Linked DNA regions of Drosophila melanogaster. The protein of the gene in region 1 interacts with the protein of each later gene in a biochemical or structural test. Each region holds a gene or a part of one and is shown in the gene's direction. Other genes may lie near its edges. The genes, in order: His3:CG31613, Sfmbt, esc and E(z).

Region 1 (3,030 bases):
CAACTCTCCAGGCAAAAGCAGGCGAACAGCCGTTTGGATCTCCCGACTGGTGATGGTCGAGCGCTTGTTGTAGTGAGCTAGACGAGACGCTTCGGCAGCAATTCGCTCGAAAATATCATTTACAAAGCTGTTCATTATGCTCATCGCCTTCGACGAAATTCCGGTGTCAGGATGGACCTGCTTGAGAACCTTGTAAATGTAGATGGCATAGCTCTCCTTCCTTTTGCGCTTCTTTTTCTTGTCGGTCTTGGTGATGTTCTTCTGAGCCTTGCCAGCCTTCTTGGCTGCCTTTCCACTAGTTTTCGGAGGCATTGTTCACGTTACTTATATTTTCACAAACACAATTCACTTATCGTAATGTGGGCCCGAACGCGTTCACGTTTATACTTTTTTTCGAGCAGTCAATTCAGGTCTAAGTCACCCACCCCTAACTGAATGCGCAGGCAAACGGAAAAGTATAAATATTTCGCTGTCTGGGTTAGGCGAGCATTCGTGTTCCGTGCGTAAAGTGAACTAAGTGAAATAAACGCAAAGCAAAATGTCTGGACGTGGAAAAGGTGGCAAAGTGAAGGGAAAGGCAAAGTCCCGCTCAAACCGTGCCGGTCTTCAATTCCCTGTGGGCCGTATTCACCGTTTGCTCCGGAAGGGAAACTACGCAGAGCGTGTTGGTGCAGGCGCTCCAGTTTACCTAGCTGCCGTAATGGAATATCTGGCCGCTGAGGTTCTCGAGTTGGCTGGCAATGCTGCTCGTGACAACAAGAAGACTAGAATTATTCCGCGTCATCTGCAACTGGCCATCCGCAACGACGAGGAGTTAAACAAGCTGCTCTCCGGCGTCACAATTGCACAAGGTGGCGTGTTGCCTAATATACAGGCTGTTCTGTTGCCCAAGAAGACCGAGAAGAAGGCCTAAACGTTTCAAAGGCTAAGCTAAAAACCTACATGTACATAAAATCGTCAATCAAACCGTCCTTTTCAGGACGACCAAATTATTACCAAAGAATTGAAAAATTTTTTAGCTTGGCAATTTGTTGTAATTAGTAAATCATAAAGAATTATTAACGTAAAGATGGTAATGTAGTAAGGGTTTTCTACTATATGCGGTATAAACTATAATTTGCTTCTTTAAACAATCGCACACCACGATGTGATGCTGTACATGCGGTGTCTGAAACCATTTGTACAGTCTGTACAAATCCATGTTAGAAATACACATTCTATTTAAAAGAGTACGAACGACAGACATTTATTTTTAGTTTAACATATTTTTTGGGAGTCCCGACCAATAAAATTAAATACTTTTTGAAAATCTTCCTCCTTTTAAAAACTGAATGGTGGTCCTGAAAAGGACCGATTGCTTAATAGGGGTACACAGGATGTACACTTTTTAACCGCCAAATCCGTAGAGGGTGCGGCCTTGCCTCTTCAGAGCGTACACAACATCCATGGCTGTAACTGTCTTCCTCTTGGCGTGTTCCGTGTAGGTCACGGCATCACGAATTACGTTCTCCAAGAAAACCTTCAGAACGCCACGCGTTTCCTCGTATATGAGTCCAGATATGCGCTTCACACCGCCTCGACGGGCCAAACGGCGGATAGCAGGCTTCGTGATACCTTGGATGTTATCACGCAGCACTTTGCGATGACGCTTGGCGCCACCCTTTCCCAAGCCTTTGCCTCCTTTACCACGACCAGTCATTTTTCACTGTTCTATACTATTATACACGCACAGCACGAAAGTCACTAAAGAACTAATTTCAACGTTTCTGTGTGCCCCTATTTATAGGTAAAACGACAAAAACCCGAGAGAGTACGAACGATATGTTCGTTCGCTTTTCGCTCGTCAAATGAAATGGCCTCCGTTTTTCTCTCTCTCTCTCTCTCTCTCTCTTTCACCGTCCACGATTGCTATATAAGTAGGTAGCAAATGCTCTGATCGTTTATTGTGTTTTCAAACGTGAAGTAGTGAACGTGAACTTTAGTGAAACCCAAATCGGAGATGGCTCGTACCAAGCAAACTGCTCGCAAATCGACTGGTGGAAAGGCGCCACGCAAACAACTGGCTACTAAGGCCGCTCGCAAGAGTGCTCCAGCCACCGGAGGTGTGAAGAAGCCCCACCGCTATCGCCCTGGAACCGTGGCCTTGCGTGAAATTCGTCGCTACCAAAAGAGCACCGAGCTTCTAATCCGCAAGCTGCCTTTCCAGCGTCTGGTGCGTGAAATCGCTCAGGACTTTAAGACGGACTTGCGATTCCAGAGCTCGGCGGTTATGGCTCTGCAGGAAGCTAGCGAAGCCTACCTGGTTGGTCTCTTCGAAGATACCAACTTGTGTGCCATTCATGCCAAGCGTGTCACCATAATGCCCAAAGACATCCAGTTAGCGCGACGCATTCGCGGCGAGCGTGCTTAAGCTGACACGGCATTAACTTGCAGATAAAGCGCTAGCGTACTCTATAATCGGTCCTTTTCAGGACCACAAACCAGATTCAATGAGATAAAATTTTCTGTTGCCGACTATTTATAACTTAAAAAAAATAAGAACAAAATTCATATTCTATTATTTATGGCGCAAACGGTACTGGGTCTTAAATCATATGTAAAAATACTAATTCTGCCAGAGAAGGAATAAAAATAATCTTATTTTAATTGTCAGCTCAACATTTATTAAATTAAAGAAGAGGTTAATAAATATAAAATATATATAAAAATATATATTTTTATTTGTTCTTTGTGCGAACATCCTTTAAAGCAGTGAAAGTGTCGTGCGGGGCAAGGGACTCTGAACCTTAAACATCTAAAAAAAAATCTGAATTCTGTGTAAGACAGTTTGAAATTAATGAAATTACATTGATGACGGCAATATTTATAAAATAACAGAAAATAATAAAATAAAACTAGCTATTTTATATTTTTTCCATGTGTTAACTGAAGAAAGTGTTATTATTGAAGAGGTCGTACGGGACAATTGACACTGTCCCTTCAAACGCCTGTAAAAAATAAAACCTATGTAAAATTCAGCACGGAAATTGG
Region 2 (7,646 bases), 8.3 Mb from region 1:
GATAAGCAGGCGATTTTGAAGACTAAGCTCCGCCACACGGGTTTCCAGCAGAGCGCATCTTTCGTTTAGCTGGTTGACATGCTCTTCCAGCGCAGCTTGCTGTTGGCTGTTAGCCAAGCAATTGGCAGAGGAGGAGGACTTGCTCCACTGCGAGGAGGTGTCGCTTCGGTCTTCATAGAGCTCTGACTCTCCAACATGCGCGCCAATGTCTGGCAAGGGCGTCTTGAGAAACTCCAGCTCGGGTTCAATGGGGTCGAAGGGACCCAAGTTGACTTCTTCCTGTGGCTGGGCTAACTCCTGTTCGATGGATTCCTTGGAGAGTATTTGCTGAACCTCCACCGACTCGATGGGCTTTAGAGCACCAAGTAAATCCTCTGTGGAGCTAACGCACTCAATGGGTCGTTCCACCGCAATACCAGGTCTTTTTTGGCGTCCCACCACCGGCACTGGACTGGTGGTGAATATAATTGGTTCCTCTTTGACGGCAACACTTGGCGTCGATCTCCTGGGTGCATTAAGCTCAGTGGTGTCCACATTGAGGGCGAACAGTACATCACTGAGGGAGTCTACGATCTCTGGCAGCTTCTTGGCCGCCTCATCGTTGAGTAGCAGGGACCAAGGTGTGTAAAATCGATGCAGCTGCTCCTCGTCGCTCAGCCAGGTGAGCACATGGCTATGCAGTCGCTTCTCGTTCAGTGTGGCGCGTATGAAGGCACGTCCTCTGCCCACATTCGTCCAGATCTGCTTAAGGTCCATATACCTCTGACGTTCGTGGGGCGTCAAATGCGTCTGGCAGAATTCCCAGAAAGTGGCGTCATTGTTGTTGCTGCCTCCGCCCGCATTTCCGGACACCATCTCCTGCATGTTCTGGATGAAGCTGGCGGCGCTGAAGGAGGAAGTGCCTGCCGATTGCCTAAGTCCGTAGGACATTAGTTCCTCGAGGGATTCGCACAGTTCCTGAACAGATTCATCCCGCTCAGTGGCAAGTTCTTTGCCACTGAACTTCTGTGAGATTTTATGCGCACTTTCCTGTAGACGTCGAAAGATGTCCTCGCGCCGTTGGCCAAAGGTGCTGCCCGCCAGTTGGCTGCGCATGCTCCGGAAGCCTGCCTCTGTGGGCATCGAGCTGGATGCATTTTCTGGCATTATTTGTGGCTATTATTCAACTAATTATATTTTCTACTCATTTTTCTCACTCCGTTGTGTGCCAACACTGGTTGCTTGACAACAAAACAAGCCAAACAGTGTTGATAAGCGTTGGAATGGGCGCATTCAGATCACCGATTAATGATTTTAAGTGACTGTGACTCAGCATTAGGTGATTTATTAAAATAAAAAAATTGTTTGTAAATAATTTATGGTACCTAAAAAACTTATAAAACTATAGGTTGCGTTATCAAAACAAACCAATTATAACTGAAAGCGCTTAATTTCTCCAATTCATATTGGTAAGGTACAACGATTTCGATTAAAATTGTGTTTTTACTGAGATAAGCAGTATTGTACACTTATCGATAACAATCACTCTGCATTATTTCTCGCTGAACGCGACCACTTGTGCATCCCTGGTGATTTAGCGGGCAAAATAATGCCAAAACGCTGTTGTGCGACTGTGTAGCCCTGGCGTATAATTGCCATCCCTGCTCGCGCAAATGCGAAAGAAGTTAGCACACAAAAATCTGTTAAAAACTATTGTTAAACGATTGAAGATCCAATAATATGTCATACCGCAAGTGCTAGCAACTGGGGAAACCCAATCCGAACGCGTCCAACGTGCAAAAGTGTAAGTTTGCATCCAGGGGCAGCAACGTCGTAAATTTTCTTTTCTGTTCGCGTTGGCTGTCTGCGCAAACGCTTCATTGACTTTTCGAGATTGAACCCATGAAATGTAACCAAAAATTCTGATAAATCGGATATATGCTCGAACCTTATTCAGTTGTGTGAAACTCCACGCGGCGGCTGAAATTCCGACCGTTACGACAGGCTTCAATCGCATTTCCGTACGCTTCCCTCACCGCGCAGCATCTGCGTGCAGAAAAGGCAAAAGTAGAATGAAAAAAAAAGGAAAACGGGAACAGAAGGAGGCAAACAAAACGAACAACGAGGAACACTGGGATTCGGTCAGGATTTACAGCCCATATGGCCGGAACATTCGCCGGTTCCAGGAGCTATTCGTAACCAAACAAACTGGGAGCATTCTATGTTGCATTGTCCATAAAATTGCAGCAAGATTAGCAATCAGCGTCAAATAGATACGGAGATTTCTAAATATGAACATAATATTCTTTTAAAAATTCGAATTAGCAGGCAGCTTAAAAAGTACTAAGTAAATAACTACGTAGTTTTTAGATAGGAATAAATAGGGATTTACTTTTTAAATTCGCCCCATCTTGACCAATTTTTATTATTTCAAAACACTAAACTATTTCAATGTTTGTTTTCAGTCAATGCGAGTTCGAAAAACAAAGGAACGCGACACGCAGCAGTAGAAAGCAATACTTTTTGAAGAGAACCCAGAAAGCTGTCCCATAAATGCTTTTGCCATACTGACCAATCCGGAATCGATAGCACCATTGGCTTAAAATGAACCCATCCGAGCTGCGCATGATGTGGATGAGTAGTCAGTACAACTCGGAGCGCATTACACTGGAGGATGCGGCCACTCTGCTGGGTCATCCCACTGTTGGACTCTCTGTCATGGAGGACCTCTCCGCCCATCAGCCAACTTTGGTGAGTGCAGACGGTTTGATTCAGAAGCCAATCTCTCAATTCGAAGACTAATAAATATAAAATGCTTTCAAATGAGCATCGCGAAAACGAGATACGTGTCTATCACTAAGGCACCCCATTATATTTGATAGTCCTCGGAGTCGAAAACAAACCCAAATTCTTTAGGTTTCAACGTGTACTCCTTGGGGATTGGCCAAATTTCCAAACTATCTTTTTTGTCTGTCTCAGTTATAAACAATTGGAATTTGTTTACTTATTTCTTCTACTTTCTTTTCTTTGATTTATATATTGGTTACAATTTAAATCTCGACACAAAAACACACATAACCAATGGTCGATCCTCAACCCGAACCACCTCCAATCTCCAAAACCCACAATGCTCAAAAAAAGGACATGAATCCGATGATGAGCCTAATGGGGGGAGATTTCACTGGTCAAGCGGCGGCGACTGCTGCGGCACTGGGTGTACAGCCGGGCACCCTGATTGCCACCAACTCGAACAACCTGTACGGATTTGCCCACATGGGCGGCCTGCAGCAGCAACTGCTCCAGCAGTCGGCGGCGGCGGCAGTCTTCCAGAACTATGCGGAGGCAATGGATAACGATGTGGAGAACGGCATGGTTGGCATGGCCATGGAGGCGGTCGTGGACGATGACGACCAAGTGTACGGTCAGAGGGACAATAACTTTGATGATAATGGATCCGAGTTGGAGCCCAAGCAAGAGATTATCAACATCGACGACTTTGTGATGATGAACGAGGACAATAATTCGTACGATGGCACCGACTTTATGACCTCCTCCGATAAGGACATTTCGCAGTCCTCCTCCTCCTGCATGGCACAGATGCCCGGAAGCTTGGGCGTCCCTGGAGTCGAGCACGATCTTTTGGTTCCACTGCCCGATGGCCTGCTGCACCACAAGCTGCTGGGCACAACTCTGGTCCCTGCGATGGGTACGCTAAATGGCAATGCCTTTGGCAACATAATGGTCAGCACTGAAAACACATCCAGCAAGCAAATGCAGCGCACCTATAGTACGGCCAAGGGAGCCAATTCCACCGCAACCACCGCCACCTGCAGTGCCTCCACGTCCTCCGCATTGCGATCACAGCGCAAGACGCGCAAGATCGAGCCCGTTAACAGGCCAGGACTGGTGCTGAAGACACCCATCGCCTACAGGGGCAACATTGACCCTTCGGTGATCCCCATACAGAAAGATGGCATGGGTAAGGTTGCTGTGCACTAGAGTGGGTCGATTCTTAATTAGAACATTGCGGGCAGAAAAGTAAACGATAAGTAACGATAAGTGGTAGAGATCTTAGTTGAGATCATATATTATTAAACATCATCAGTTTGATGTACATTGAACTTATCTAAAATTCCAAAAGCCTTTGCCTTGTATTTACAATCTTTCAAGGCTTGCTCTGTCTACTAGCTTATGTATTTGATAAAGTAAATAGTTATTTCTTTCTAAGTAATTAGTAATGATTCGTTTATTTAAACAATGAAAACCACCTGTAAATCTGCAATCGATCCACTCTACACGATATTAATTTTCAAGCTTTTTATTTTAAATCCTACTCTTAGTTTCACTTATCTTTATGGTTTTGGGTTTGTTTTGCAAGAATTTGGGTTTGTATACCATGATAGCATTTAAATTAAATACGAAATTAACGTTTACATTAATATGCACTTAAACGATTCGTTTTTTCTTCTTCTACAGCTGTCTGTAAACGTTGTGGCGCCATTGGAGTGAAGCACACATTCTACACAAAATCGCGACGTTTTTGCAGCATGGCCTGTGCCCGAGGCGAACTATATTCGTTGGTACTTAACACTAAGATGGAGGGAGACCAGGCAACCACTAGTTCCCCGGATCCTGGAGCGGGTTCGGAGTCAGCCGATTTGCCTGGCGATCAGCAACAGTCGCAGTCGGATATTGAGCTCGATCTGCATGCGGCGCACATTAAGAATGCGAATTATCGTTTTCGCATTACGGATCAATCAAAGATTACCCAGTTGAATAGCTTCGGCGAACCCATGTCAATGGGCGGCGACGCAGCTGCCAATAATGTACAAATGGCAGCAGATGAAACAATTGCTGCGTTAAACGGCGGAGCAGTGGGCGATGCCACTGCTCCGGGCAGCACCGAGGAGGGTGCATCCACACCCAATTCTTATCTGAGCGCAGCACCCACGCCCAAGGCCTTGCGACTTTTTAAGGACATCTACCCACAGGATGACCTGCCGCAAATACCCAAATACGAGCGCCTTCCCGTACCGTGTCCGCAAATGGAGAAGATAATCAGCATTCGGCGGCGCATGTATGATCCCACACACTCCTACGACTGGTTGCCCCGCCTTAGCAAGGAGAACTTCAATGCGGCACCCGTCACTTGTTTTCCTCATGCACCCGGTTGCGAGGTATGGGACAATTTGGGCGTGGGCATGAAGGTTGAAGTGGAAAATACGGATTGCGATAGCATCGAAGTGATCCAACCGGGTCAGACTCCTACCTCGTTTTGGGTGGCCACCATCCTGGAAATCAAAGGCTATAAGGCCTTAATGAGCTACGAGGGTTTCGATACGGACTCGCACGACTTCTGGGTGAACCTCTGCAATGCCGAGGTGCATTCGGTGGGTTGGTGCGCCACTCGGGGCAAGCCATTAATTCCGCCCCGCACCATCGAGCACAAGTACAAGGACTGGAAGGACTTTCTGGTGGGACGTTTATCCGGAGCCCGCACCCTTCCCTCCAACTTTTACAACAAAATCAACGACAGCCTCCAGTCGCGCTTCCGCCTTGGCCTGAATCTCGAGTGCGTGGACAAGGATCGCATTTCGCAGGTGCGCCTGGCCACCGTCACCAAAATCGTGGGAAAGCGCCTCTTCCTGCGCTACTTCGATTCCGACGACGGCTTTTGGTGTCACGAGGACTCGCCCATCATCCATCCAGTTGGCTGGGCAACCACAGTAGGCCATAATCTGGCTGCACCGCAGGACTATCTGGAGCGCATGTTAGGTAATAATATTTACTTTTTCTGCATACATGTTTTTACATTACCATTTTAACATTTTACATACCATTCCTACTTCCAGCTGGTCGCGAAGCCATGATTGAGGTTCATGAGGACGATGCCACAATCGAGTTGTTTAAGATGAACTTCACCTTCGACGAATACTACAGTGACGGCAAAACCAATAGCTTTGTGGAGGGCATGAAGCTGGAAGCGGTGGATCCACTCAACCTTTCATCCATATGCCCGGCTACAGTAATGGCGGTTCTTAAGTTCGGATACATGATGATACGCATTGATTCCTACCAACCGGATGCCTCAGGGTCGGATTGGTGAGCTTTAAAAGCTTCAATTTAAGTCGGCAAATCTAAATAGCTTCTGTTGTATTTTTTTTTAGGTTCTGTTACCATGAAAAGAGTCCGTGTATCTTTCCGGCTGGATTCTGTTCCGTCAACAACATTTCGGTTACCCCACCGAACGGCTACGACTCTCGTACATTCACCTGGGAGGGTTACCTCCGCGACACGGGAGCCGTAGCCGCTGGCCAGCATCTATTTCATCGGATTATTCCCGATCATGGATTTGAGGTGGGTATGAGTCTGGAGTGTGCAGATCTCATGGATCCCCGACTCGTTTGCGTGGCCACGGTGGCGCGAGTGGTTGGTCGACTACTCAAGGTTCACTTTGACGGATGGACGGATGAGTACGACCAGTGGTTGGATTGCGAATCAGCCGATATATATCCAGTCGGATGGTGTGTACTGGTCAACCATAAGCTAGAGGGCCCACCGAGAGTAGCACATCAGCAGGCCCCGAAACCGGCACCAAAGCCCAAAATACAGCGAAAGCGAAAGCCCAAAAAGGGAGCAGCGGGAGGCAAAACTCCAACCGATAATAATACTCAGTCGGGTAAGTTTTTTTTTTCTAATCAAAGTCATTCGAATTCCTGTATATCATCATGCATCTTCAAATGTTATTCCAGTCAAATCGCGTACAATTGCGCTCAAGACCACGCCGCACTTACCCAAGCTGAGCATCAAGCTGGAGCTAAAGCCGGAGCATCACAATGCTGCCTTTTACGAGAACAATCAGCCCGAGGAGGAAGGCGACGAGGAGGATCCCGATGCGGATGGCGATGGAGACGGAAGCACCAGCCACATCTCCGAGCAGTCAACGACACAGTCGTCCAGTGATCTGATCGCTGGATCGGGCAGTGGAAGTGGGTCCGCCTCGCTGGTAACTCTCGCCACGGGCAGTAACAAAACGGTAAAGAAATCTACTACTAAATCTCCTGCGCCACCAACTGTGGGTCGCAAAGCCACTAGCTACATTGCGGTGAGTACTTAGCGGAATAATAGTGCGTAGAGTCATCCATCTAGCCAGCCAGCCTGCTTGCCCGCCTGAAGTTCAGCTCACGCATCTAAACGGGAGGTCCAAAGAGCATAGTGGTTTTTGTTTTAAACATTAATTAAATTTTATTTAGAGGAATTCCCCTTTAATTTATTTGCCTTTTTTTTTCGAAATAGAAGCATCAGCTTATACACCAAAATACTCCATATTAATCCAAGTTTGCCTTGTTTAGCTTAAGTTTTTGTTATTTCATATGAAATAGATTGTCCGACCCAACTTAAACCACTGTGCTAAAGCTCCGTAACACAACTGCATAAATGTATATAACCAAAATCAAATCGTTCATAAAACGCCAATTTGTATATAATTTAATTTACGCACTGTTATTTTTGGTACTTGCAACAGCCCCAATAGCCCCAACACACCGACATCCAATCGTTCCGTCACACACCCAACCAGCAATGCAACATCATACGTTAACTAATTAAGTCCTTATTTTTTACCCCACTATAGAACTCCTCTGCGACGAATAATAAGTACATTCCGC
Region 3 (4,546 bases), 9.6 Mb from region 1:
AATGTGAACAGTGAAATTCTTGAAGGTTCAACTTTAGAACATGATTGACAGATATTTTATTTAGAGTAAGGCAATCTTCGTGGGAAAAGTCCAATCCACTGCCCCTACTAAACCCAAAAGCTTTATCACAATCTCTCAACTGATGTTCTATTTATATATTCTTTCTTTCTATTGCCAAAACTATTTACCTAAAACCAAAAAAAAAAAAAAACATGAAAACTAAATGAAAACTTTTGCACAAAACACACAAACAATCCGAATGCTATGCAACGTCAAATCAACGTGGTGTCTCGTTGCCCAAAAATTGCCCATTTGCATTTTCGCTGTTACTCACTGCCAACTGCTGGGCGCCGAAAAACTTGACCGCCTTGGCACTCGAAACTGGCGCCCAACGTATGCCGGCCATTTACTTCTGCAGGGAGGGCTGCAATGGGAATTGCAAGAACCTGAACTGCAGTCGCCATAGCCACGGACGCGATGACCAGCAGCAGGACAACAACAACTCCAATAGGAGTTGCAGCCTGCAGGAGGCGTCGCCTGGGGGAGCAGGTGCAGGTGTCACACCAGGCGCTGACAACCAGGACAGCATAGAGAGTCGCACCAAGGGCGTTTCCCAGGCGCCGCAGACCCACAGTGGCCCAACGGGTCCACCATCCAACACCTCGAGCGAAACTATCGCACAACCTGCCCCTAAGCTTCAACCCGCCCTGGAAACCGTAAGGGAATCGGTGATGGAAGAAAGTCCTTCGAAGGATCCCGGCGACAAGGGACCACCGCCGCCCGCCAGCACATCCACATTGACATCCCAAACCACCACCTCCTCCAGCGCAACCGCGGAGCCAAGTGCCAAGGCGGCCGAGAGTCAAGCGGGAAGTGCCGGCAGCAGTGGCAGTTGCAGTAACCCAGCGGCGGTGCATCGGCAACGCCGCCTAAGGACACCCACCTGGGCCAGGTCCATGTCGACGAACAAAACGTACTTGAAATTTGATTTCTATGCTAGACTAACGTTTATCCGTTACGCCTCTTCAGTTCGTTCGATTTGCCTTTATCGTTTCACGTTTGCGTTAACCAACCAACAACCACACAGCTCCAGAATGAACTACTTTCTATATATACACACATAACTCTATGAACTCTGTCTCTCTATCTCTCCTTTATCCAATCTATCCATCTGTCTGCTGACCTCTGTCTGCGATTTCCACTGCTGTAATCTTCTGTCTAGCCTCTGTCCCCTACCCCAAATCTTTTGCTCGCTTCTGTTGTAAATAACTATTTTATCCTAGACTAATCAAAAAAAAAAAAAGAAAAAAGGACACTTGTTTCGTTCCCCAGCCGCGCTCAGCGGGATTGTAAATGTTTCGTTGCCGCGTTTGGACAAAAAATTGCTTACTACGTTTAAATACTCCGTGCAACTATTAAATCAAACTTACATTCATACGTAGTAAGCACTTGAAGGAGTGAGAACTGGAAGATATACTTTAAATGTATTCAAAACTGCTTAAAGTATTTGTATGATACATTTGCATTTCTGAGAAACTATATCTTCCACTTTTGACGCCACTCGCAAGCAGCAACTCTCCTAGTCTTGTCGACCAGTGTAATTTTGTGAATACATGTACAAAGTTTGAATACCGCACATGAATCCATGGCATGTTGATTGTCCTACATTTGTTTGTTTTCTATATTAAAAAACTAGCTTGCGCATGTGTTTTGTCGTTTTTGAACTTTTTTTAACTTTCCCGCCTAAGTGTGTTAAATACCGTTTAATGTTTACCAACACTGGCCAGCCGATCGTGACCAGGTGGCCACGCTGCGCAATGGTAAGACCGTACTGCCTGCAATGCCTGGGTATTTTACGCGATCCGTGACTGGGGTCACACCATTGCCGCCAAAAAAAAACATTTTCATTCGCCTCGTTATTTAAACATTTAAAAAAAGCATTATCGAATAGTTCATTGAAGTCGCGGCCTAATTTGGGTTTCATTTAACCGTACAAACGTGCCGCGCGTTCGAAATGAGCAGTGATAAAGTGAAAAACGGCAACGAGCCCGAGGAGTCGGAGGAATCATGCGGCGTGAGTAGCGAATGACAAATGGCTGTGCGAACCGAGAATTAATGGATCTTTTGGGCCATGTGCCGGCTGCAGGATGAGTCGGCCAGCTATACCACCAACAGCACCACCTCGCGCAGCAAGTCCCCGTCATCCAGCACGCGCAGCAAGCGCCGCGGTCGCCGGAGCACCAAATCGAAGCCAAAAAGTCGCGCCGCCTACAAATACGAGTAAGAATATGCACTTTCTCAGCTGGCCACTGATACTGAACCTACAAATGATTACCATGAAGCACCCACGTGAAGGAGAACCACGGAGCCAACATCTTCGGCGTAGCCTTCAACACGCTGCTGGGCAAGGATGAGCCACAGGTCTTCGCTACGGCGGGCAGCAACCGGGTGACCGTCTACGAGTGCCCTCGACAGGGCGGGATGCAGCTGCTCCACTGCTATGCAGATCCGGATGTGAGTCGCCAGGATACAGAATACACTTTCAAGACCCTATTGATCAGTTGGCTAAAGTTAGGGGCTTCATACATTAGACATCGCATTCAAAGCTGTAGAAAAAGTGGGATCCAGTCAAAGTTTCTATTAAATCATTGCTTTTGTTAATTGTTTTAAAGTAAGAACAATCGTTACAGGCTTTCAGCATGGTTTCACAATATCCAAACATTTATCATTTCTTGTATTAAGTTTGGTTTTTCATAACAGTCAAGTTTTCAAATTAAAGCTTATATTGTTAATTTAGCCGAGAGTAACTGAGAATATGGTCGCAAATGTAATTGTACAAACTCGAAATACATCAACAAATCTTGAATTCCCTTCCCAGCCCGATGAAGTATTTTACACCTGCGCCTGGTCGTACGACCTTAAGACCTCTTCACCTCTCCTGGCCGCTGCTGGATACCGCGGAGTCATCCGGGTTATTGATGTCGAGCAGAATGAGGCGGTGGGCAACTACATTGGCCATGGACAGGCCATTAACGAGCTGAAGTTCCATCCGCACAAGCTACAGCTTTTGCTTTCGGGCAGCAAGGATCACGCGATAAGATTGTGGAACATCCAGAGCCATGTGTGCATTGCCATCCTGGGCGGAGTGGAGGGACATCGCGATGAGGTGCTGTCCATCGACTTTAATATGCGTGGAGATCGCATTGTGTCGAGCGGCATGGATCACTCGCTGAAGCTGTGGTGTCTGAATACGCCCGAGTTCCATCACAAGATCGAACTGTCGAACACTTTCAGCCAGGAGAAGTCAACGCTGCCTTTCCCCACGGTGACCAAGCACTTCCCCGATTTTTCAACGCGGGATATACACAGGAACTATGTGGACTGTGTGCAGTGGTTCGGCAACTTTGTGCTCTCCAAGTCCTGCGAAAATGCCATTGTCTGCTGGAAACCGGGACAACTACATCAGAGCTTCGAGCAGGTGAAGCCGAGCGACTCCTCCTGCACGATAATTGCGGAATTCGAGTACGACGAGTGCGAGATCTGGTTCGTGAGATTCGGCTTCAATCCGTGGCAGAAGGTGATTGCCCTGGGCAATCAGCAGGGCAAGGTGTATGTGTGGGAGCTGGATCCCAGCGATCCCGAGGGCGCACACATGACCACCCTGCACAATTCGCGTAGCGTGGCCACTGTGCGCCAGATAGCCTTCTCTCGCGATGCCAGCGTACTGGTCTACGTGTGCGATGACGCCACCGTGTGGCGATGGAACCGCAGACAAACAACTTCCATCTGATGGCGCAGCTGGGCGCAACCACAAACCAAATCTCACGTGGCCAAAACTTACAACATTTCCCTCAATTAGTTCCTAGTTGGTTAGCATTAAGATATAGAATTACGCTCCTGTGCTGTTCCAAATTATTTCAAGTAAATCCAATTAATAGTTGGATGAGATTTAAATATGTTAAGCCGGTTGCTTTTTAGATGTAAGAACGAATAGTTGTTGCTTACTCTGCTGCCTTTATTTATTGTAAATAAAGTGAGTACATTGTAATTTCACATGTATATAAGCAACATTGAAGATGTATTTTCTGCTTAACCAGAATCCAAACTGCTGCTCTTTAAGCCATGTAAACGTCTTCAAGCTGACTGAGTGTCCCCAGTTGGCAATTCTAATTGCGAAACAAAGCAAAGCTGCGCATAACAAATGGCTTTCAATTGCTACGTCATTTATATGCATTGCTGCAACGCCATCCAGCTCCAATCTGCTGGAAATGCGGCGAATAAGCGCGACGAAATTGAAACTGCCAACGGGCGTGCGAACCGGGATGAGTGGGAAACCAAGCCAGGCCAGGCGGACAGCGATCCCGACCAGCCATAACAGCTCCCAGCAGACTGATTAAGCGAGCAGAGTCCCACAATGATTTGCCATGCCCTAGCTGGATTTTTATCGAACGCTTCTCTCTCGTTTTGATGAAAGTGCAGGCCATTTCCATCATGGGTTTTTTTCTTTTTTGGGGGGTTGTATCTAATGGAAGTTTATGAAAATAGC
Region 4 (5,689 bases), on another chromosome or scaffold:
CTTCTGATGCCTTGGAACTGCACAGACTCCCTATTTATACAGAATGCGGCTCGATAAAAACCGCTCCAAATATACAAAAACACTTGTCGTTGCACAATTTGCGAGCAACTCGTTAGTTATAGATGAATTGATATTGAAATGTCGCTTGGTGTATTTGGCAGCGATGGGTAACGCCATTAACGAAACACATAAAGCTTAACAATTGATTTCTTTTCTTTTTGTTTTTTTGTACAAAGGAGCTTCTATAATTAAACAAAATGTGTAGGGGAGAAATAAGAGGTACTTTAAAAATACGCTTACAAAGCGAGGGTGTCCGAATCAACATGTAGGAAAAAAGAAAAGGGTAAGGGAACTAGCAATTAACTAAATAAACGTCCTGGAAGCTGGCCGGTGCTCATGTACTGTTGTTGTTACTTTGCCGCGGCTTGAGTATCAGCTTCCCCGTGTCGTCACAGCTCATATTAAAGTCTCCCAGTACCATTCGCGTTCTCGATGTAATTATTTGCGGAGCTATGACTAGTTTCTGTATGCCCAGGATGAACAGGACGACTGCGGAGAGAAATGATAAGGTTTACAAAATCAGTAAGTCAGTTTCAAACCAAAAAAATTAGATTAGATTAAATGGAAGTGTTTGTTAGCTGAAAATTCTTAATCAGTTGGACTATCAATATTGATATATACAAATCGAATTTGATAAAGCGAAGAGCTTTGACAAGATTAAAGGCAACCTAATGTTGCTAAAATTTGGAGAATGTACTTATGTAGTTTGCATAGATGTGATAGATATAAGGAGTGTATTCTACTCAAAATAACAGTAGAAATACCTAAAAATTTGAAATTCTTGATTTTGATCCTTTCTTTTTACCGAGTAGCCTGAGATAACCTGATATATAGTATCGACTTGCTCTACGATATGATTATATGGATTTAAATAGCATGGTATGGCTTGGTATTAAAATTATTCTCCATACTAGGTAGAATATCCGAGGTTCAATGACCGCCGCTGTTGACTACAAAAAGTGACCTATGTACGGAGTACAGTAGTGGCTACACCGATTCTTACCCAATGTTAGGGTGGCGACTGTGAAGACGGGATGAATCCAGAGGGACTCCGTTAGCGGTACAACGGTGGTGCGCGGATCGCGTAGCCAGTACCAGGCGCTGATGGCGGTGCACATGGACATGGCGGAAAGGACAACTGCAAGAAGCTCTATGGTTATTACGGATTGTAATGCTCCCTGGTGTTCTCATTATACGGATGCAACTTACTGCGCCAGCGGAACGTCGAGGGACGGTACGATGAAACCACTTCGGTGAGGCGCCGCTCGAAGGCCTTGAGATCTGCAGAGGAGCGAGGAAAACAAACCCAGTTATGGTTGGTAAACATAGTCAGTGGCTTGCGCGTTTTCCGGCTCTCTTTTGCCGGCGAGTTACATACCTTCGCAGGCTGACGGTTCCATTGCAGCTATTTCCTCAAAGCTCGTGGCCGTCTTAATGCGATTAAATTTGTCCAGTTTAAATATTATTGTATTTATTATTATTATTTGATGAGGTTCTCATAGCTTTCTTTTCCTCTTTTTATGTTTTTGATGACATTCCACGTTTGAGAGCACTGATAACGGGCTGCGTTTCTCAACACTACACAAAGCAGGGTCGTACCAAAGAGGGGCTCTTTGTTTATTTCCTACTTTCAGTACAAAATGGTTGTATAGCTAATTTAAAGTGAGTATTATATTTATGTATTATTTATATTATATTTATATTATTTTAATACAAAAATATCATAGTTTTTATTATAATATAAATATAATTAATGGCTTACCGGACAAATTAAGTACCCACTAAATGGTCTTCTACATACACCCATGTGTCTAAGTTATTCTTCCTGCAGTACAACGGTCACACTGCGGCAGCTGTTGCAAAAAAAGGCGGATAATATTTGTAGCAAAATCAGTGTTTTTTATACGTAAAATCAACAAATATAAAGTCCCTCGAAGGCATTATGAATAGCACTAAAGTGCCGCCCGAGTGGAAGAGGCGTGTCAAGTCGGAGTACATCAAAATCAGGCAGCAGAAGCGCTACAAACGTGCCGACGAGATCAAGGAGGCGTGGATAAGAAACTGGTAAGCGCGGGAGAGATGGTGGATGTCTGGGAATCGAAAATCTATGTACACATATCCTCCAGGGACGAGCACAACCACAATGTACAGGATCTGTACTGCGAGTCGAAGGTTTGGCAGGCTAAACCCTACGATCCGCCGCATGTGGACTGTGTGAAGCGGGCGGAGGTGACTAGCTACAATGGCATTCCCAGCGGTCCGCAAAAGGTGCCCATTTGCGTGATCAACGCGGTCACTCCCATACCCACCATGTACACGTGGGCACCAACACAGCAGAACTTCATGGTGGAGGATGAGACGGTGCTGCACAATATACCCTATATGGGCGACGAGGTCCTCGATAAGGATGGCAAGTTCATAGAGGAACTGATCAAAAACTACGATGGCAAGGTTCACGGCGACAAGGATCCCTCGTTCATGGACGATGCCATCTTCGTAGAACTGGTGCACGCCCTTATGCGCTCCTACAGCAAGGAACTGGAGGAAGCCGCTCCGGGTACAGCGACTGCCATTAAAACAGAGACGTTGGCGAAATCAAAACAGGGCGAAGATGATGGGGTAGTTGATGTTGACGCAGATGGTGAATCTCCCATGAAGCTTGAGAAAACCGACAGCAAAGGGGATCTGACTGAAGTTGAGAAGAAGGAAACTGAAGAACCGCTGGAGACTGAAGATGCGGATGTTAAGCCCGATGTGGAAGAAGTCAAGGACAAGCTGCCCTTCCCTGCGCCCATTATTTTTCAGGCCATCAGCGCTAACTTTCCAGACAAGGGCACCGCGCAAGAGCTCAAAGAAAAGTATGTAATTTGATAACCAGGTTAGTAAATATCCCTTCTTACGGCTTTTTCTTTTTGCTAGGTACATTGAGCTTACGGAGCACCAGGATCCGGAGCGCCCACAGGAGTGCACACCCAACATTGACGGCATCAAGGCCGAGAGCGTTTCCCGGGAAAGGACTATGCACTCCTTTCACACGCTCTTCTGTCGTCGTTGCTTCAAATACGACTGCTTCCTGCACCGTAAGTTAAACGATGGGAACTGCTGCCAGCTGGGTTACCTAATGACTTTACGTTTTGTTTTTGCTTTTCTTTTCTTGTTTGGAAACAATATTATCTTACCAAAAAACACAAATCTGTACCATTTCTTAAACCCCCAAAAAAAAAAACGAAATTCCAAAATGTATTGAATTAATTGCAATTTAGGTCACCATGTGCAGGGTGAGTCGTTGTTGTAGTTGTTGTTTCGATAACCACACGCACACACTCTCATGCCGTTTGCCCGTCAACGCCTCCGCATCCTCATCTCGCTGTCTATGAATATAATTTTTATAATAACCCATATCGGTGGATAATTTGGCTATGTTTGTCATGTGTCTAAATTGACCCCTCGGTGTTGCTCACCTCATTTTCGTGTGGCTTTGGCTGGACCATTTCTCTCTATCTCTTCAAATGTAACCGATTACCCTCATGCTAATCCAAAAGCGTTTCATAGACATCAAGTGATTTTCGCCCGATTGAGTTATTCTAATCCCGCTGCTCTGTGTTCACAGGCTTGCAAGGACATGCGGGTCCCAATCTCCAGAAGCGTCGCTATCCGGAACTGAAGCCTTTCGCCGAACCTTGCAGCAACTCCTGCTACATGTTGATCGTAAGTTGGATGCACTTTATAAATTTAAATGGTATTTTAATTCTGTTATATGCTGCAGGATGGCATGAAGGAAAAGCTGGCGGCCGATAGCAAGACACCTCCCATTGATTCCTGCAATGAGGCCAGCTCCGAGGACAGTAATGACAGCAACAGTCAGTTTAGCAACAAGGACTTTAATCATGAGAATAGCAAGGATAATGGCCTGACTGTAAATAGCGCCGCTGTGGCTGAGATCAACTCCATTATGGGTCAGTTTTAAGTTAGCAGATTGGTTGGACCATGTGTTAAATATTTCACTTTTTCTCACCAGCTGGCATGATGAACATCACCAGTACGCAGTGCGTTTGGACAGGCGCTGACCAAGCACTTTATCGGGTCTTGCATAAAGTGTATTTAAAGAACTACTGCGCGATTGCGCACAACATGCTGACCAAGACCTGTCGTCAGGTGTACGAGTTTGCCCAGAAGGAGGATGCTGAGTTTAGCTTCGAGGATTTGCGACAGGACTTCACACCTCCGCGCAAGAAGAAGAAGAAGCAACGTCTGTGGTCGCTGCACTGTCGTAAGATTCAGCTAAAGAAGGACTCATCCTCGAATCACGTGTACAACTACACGCCCTGCGACCATCCCGGACATCCATGCGACATGAACTGCTCCTGCATTCAGACACAAAACTTCTGCGAAAAGTTCTGCAACTGCAGCAGCGATTGCCAGAATCGTTTCCCCGGCTGTCGCTGCAAGGCTCAGTGCAATACGAAGCAGTGTCCTTGCTATCTGGCAGTGCGCGAGTGTGATCCCGATCTGTGCCAGGCCTGCGGAGCGGATCAGTTTAAGCTGACCAAGATCACGTGCAAGAACGTGTGCGTGCAGCGAGGACTGCGTAAGAAACCTTCTTATATATCCATATTGGTCTTCGCCACTGTCAACTAATTTAATCTTCAATTGCAGACAAGCACCTGCTCATGGCTCCGTCTGACATCGCCGGCTGGGGCATCTTTCTTAAGGAGGGTGCGCAAAAGAATGAGTTCATTTCGGAATATTGTGGCGAGATCATATCCCAAGATGAAGCCGATCGCCGTGGCAAGGTTTACGACAAGTACATGTGCTCATTTCTTTTCAATCTGAACAACGATTTTGTTGTGGATGCCACTCGGAAGGGCAACAAGATTCGGTTTGCCAATCATTCCATTAATCCCAATTGCTATGCCAAGGTTATGATGGTCACCGGCGATCATCGCATCGGCATCTTTGCCAAGCGGGCCATTCAGCCCGGCGAAGAGCTATTCTTTGACTACAGATACGGACCCACGGAGCAGCTGAAGTTCGTGGGCATAGAGCGTGAAATGGAAATTGTTTGATAACGAGTCTACTTATGAAAATCGTATCATACAAATTGAATAAAACTATATTTTTGAAAACACACCTAAACGGATTTAGCTACATTGGCTATAATTGGTTTGGGTCGCGATTTGAAGATTAATTTTTTGGTGCAAACGGCGCGCACAGTGTACTCCGTTCTTTGGCGACTCTTGTGCTCCTGGGCGATCGTATGATCCAGCACTGTGCGCTCCGCTCCCGTGGTGGCGTTCAGCATACTGACATCCTGCGAGGCCATGCTCGTTTCTAGGAGTCGTTCTCCCTCATTGGTCTTGGACTTTTCCAGCACCGCAAATGGTTTATCCAACTTTTGTTCACGTCCCTGAAGAATGTGATGTCCAATGATGAGAATCTTATGATATAAGTAAAATCAGATTGTTTAAGAGCTGGTTAAATTATAACTTTACAATTACAACTCACAGGTTGGCCATATTTATTGTAGTAGAGATCGCCAATAAACTGGCCGTGCATATCCTGGTTGCTCCGCACCTCCAGGTCGCCTTGCAGCTCTATAATGGCCCAATCGCCTTTGCCAGCGTTTTGT

The links.
Region 2: the proteins of His3:CG31613 (region 1) and Sfmbt form a complex in vitro, tested with the Drosophila melanogaster proteins (2 studies listed by BioGRID).
Region 3: of the proteins of His3:CG31613 (region 1) and esc, one has a biochemical effect on the other in vitro, tested with the Drosophila melanogaster proteins (2 studies listed by BioGRID, with this or other methods).
Region 4: of the proteins of His3:CG31613 (region 1) and E(z), one has a biochemical effect on the other in vitro, tested with the Drosophila melanogaster proteins (3 studies listed by BioGRID).

What each region holds. Positions count from the first base shown.
Region 1 is NT_033779.5:21,423,251-21,426,280, forward strand, and holds His3:CG31613 (histone H3), read left to right. Parts: upstream 1-1,942; 5' UTR 1,943-1,999; coding exon 2,000-2,410; 3' UTR 2,411-2,471; downstream 2,472-3,030. Other genes in the region: His2B:CG17949 (histone H2B), read right to left, coding at 1-312; His2A:CG31618 (histone H2A), read left to right, coding at 539-913; His4:CG31611 (histone H4), read right to left, coding at 1,388-1,699.
Region 2 is NT_033779.5:13,170,751-13,178,396, reverse strand, and holds the start of Sfmbt (Scm-related gene containing four mbt domains), read left to right. Parts: upstream 1-1,640; 5' UTR 1,641-1,728; coding exon of another isoform or gene 1,729-1,860; exon of another isoform or gene 1,861-1,863; intron 1,864-1,927; exon of another isoform or gene 1,928-1,974; intron 1,975-2,014; exon of another isoform or gene 2,015-2,174; intron 2,175-2,444; 5' UTR 2,445-2,583; coding exon 2,584-2,730; intron 2,731-3,031; exon of another isoform or gene 3,032-3,120; coding exon 3,121-3,958; exon of another isoform or gene 3,959-4,170; intron 4,171-4,455; coding exon 4,456-5,754; intron 5,755-5,831; coding exon 5,832-6,081; intron 6,082-6,146; coding exon 6,147-6,658; intron 6,659-6,731; coding exon 6,732-7,084; intron 7,085-7,612; coding exon 7,613-7,646. Other genes in the region: CG5439 (uncharacterized protein), read right to left, coding at 1-1,146; CG43925 (uncharacterized protein), read right to left, coding at 1,509-1,640, 1,729-1,860. UniProt on the Drosophila melanogaster protein: Polycomb group (PcG) protein that binds to the Polycomb response elements (PREs) found in the regulatory regions of many genes.
Region 3 is NT_033779.5:11,826,704-11,831,249, reverse strand, and holds esc (extra sexcombs), read left to right. Parts: upstream 1-1,844; 5' UTR 1,845-2,014; coding exon 2,015-2,074; intron 2,075-2,146; coding exon 2,147-2,280; intron 2,281-2,342; coding exon 2,343-2,514; intron 2,515-2,878; coding exon 2,879-3,790; 3' UTR 3,791-4,046; downstream 4,047-4,546. Other genes in the region: Pde1c (phosphodiesterase 1c), read left to right, coding at 419-973. UniProt on the Drosophila melanogaster protein: Polycomb group (PcG) protein.
Region 4 is NT_037436.4:10,634,075-10,639,763, reverse strand, and holds E(z) (enhancer of zeste), read left to right. Parts: upstream 1-1,884; 5' UTR 1,885-2,002; coding exon 2,003-2,124; intron 2,125-2,186; coding exon 2,187-2,918; intron 2,919-2,979; coding exon 2,980-3,140; intron 3,141-3,323; coding exon 3,324-3,338; intron 3,339-3,670; coding exon 3,671-3,768; intron 3,769-3,826; coding exon 3,827-4,016; intron 4,017-4,078; coding exon 4,079-4,648; intron 4,649-4,716; coding exon 4,717-5,126; 3' UTR 5,127-5,189; downstream 5,190-5,689. Other genes in the region: Cnep1r2 (CTD nuclear envelope phosphatase 1 regulatory subunit 2), read right to left, coding at 395-549, 1,064-1,210, 1,270-1,341, 1,439-1,460; CG34001 (uncharacterized protein), read right to left, coding at 5,192-5,497, 5,566-5,689. UniProt on the Drosophila melanogaster protein: Polycomb group (PcG) protein. Catalytic subunit of the Esc/E(z) complex, which methylates 'Lys-9' and 'Lys-27' of histone H3, leading to transcriptional repression of the affected target gene.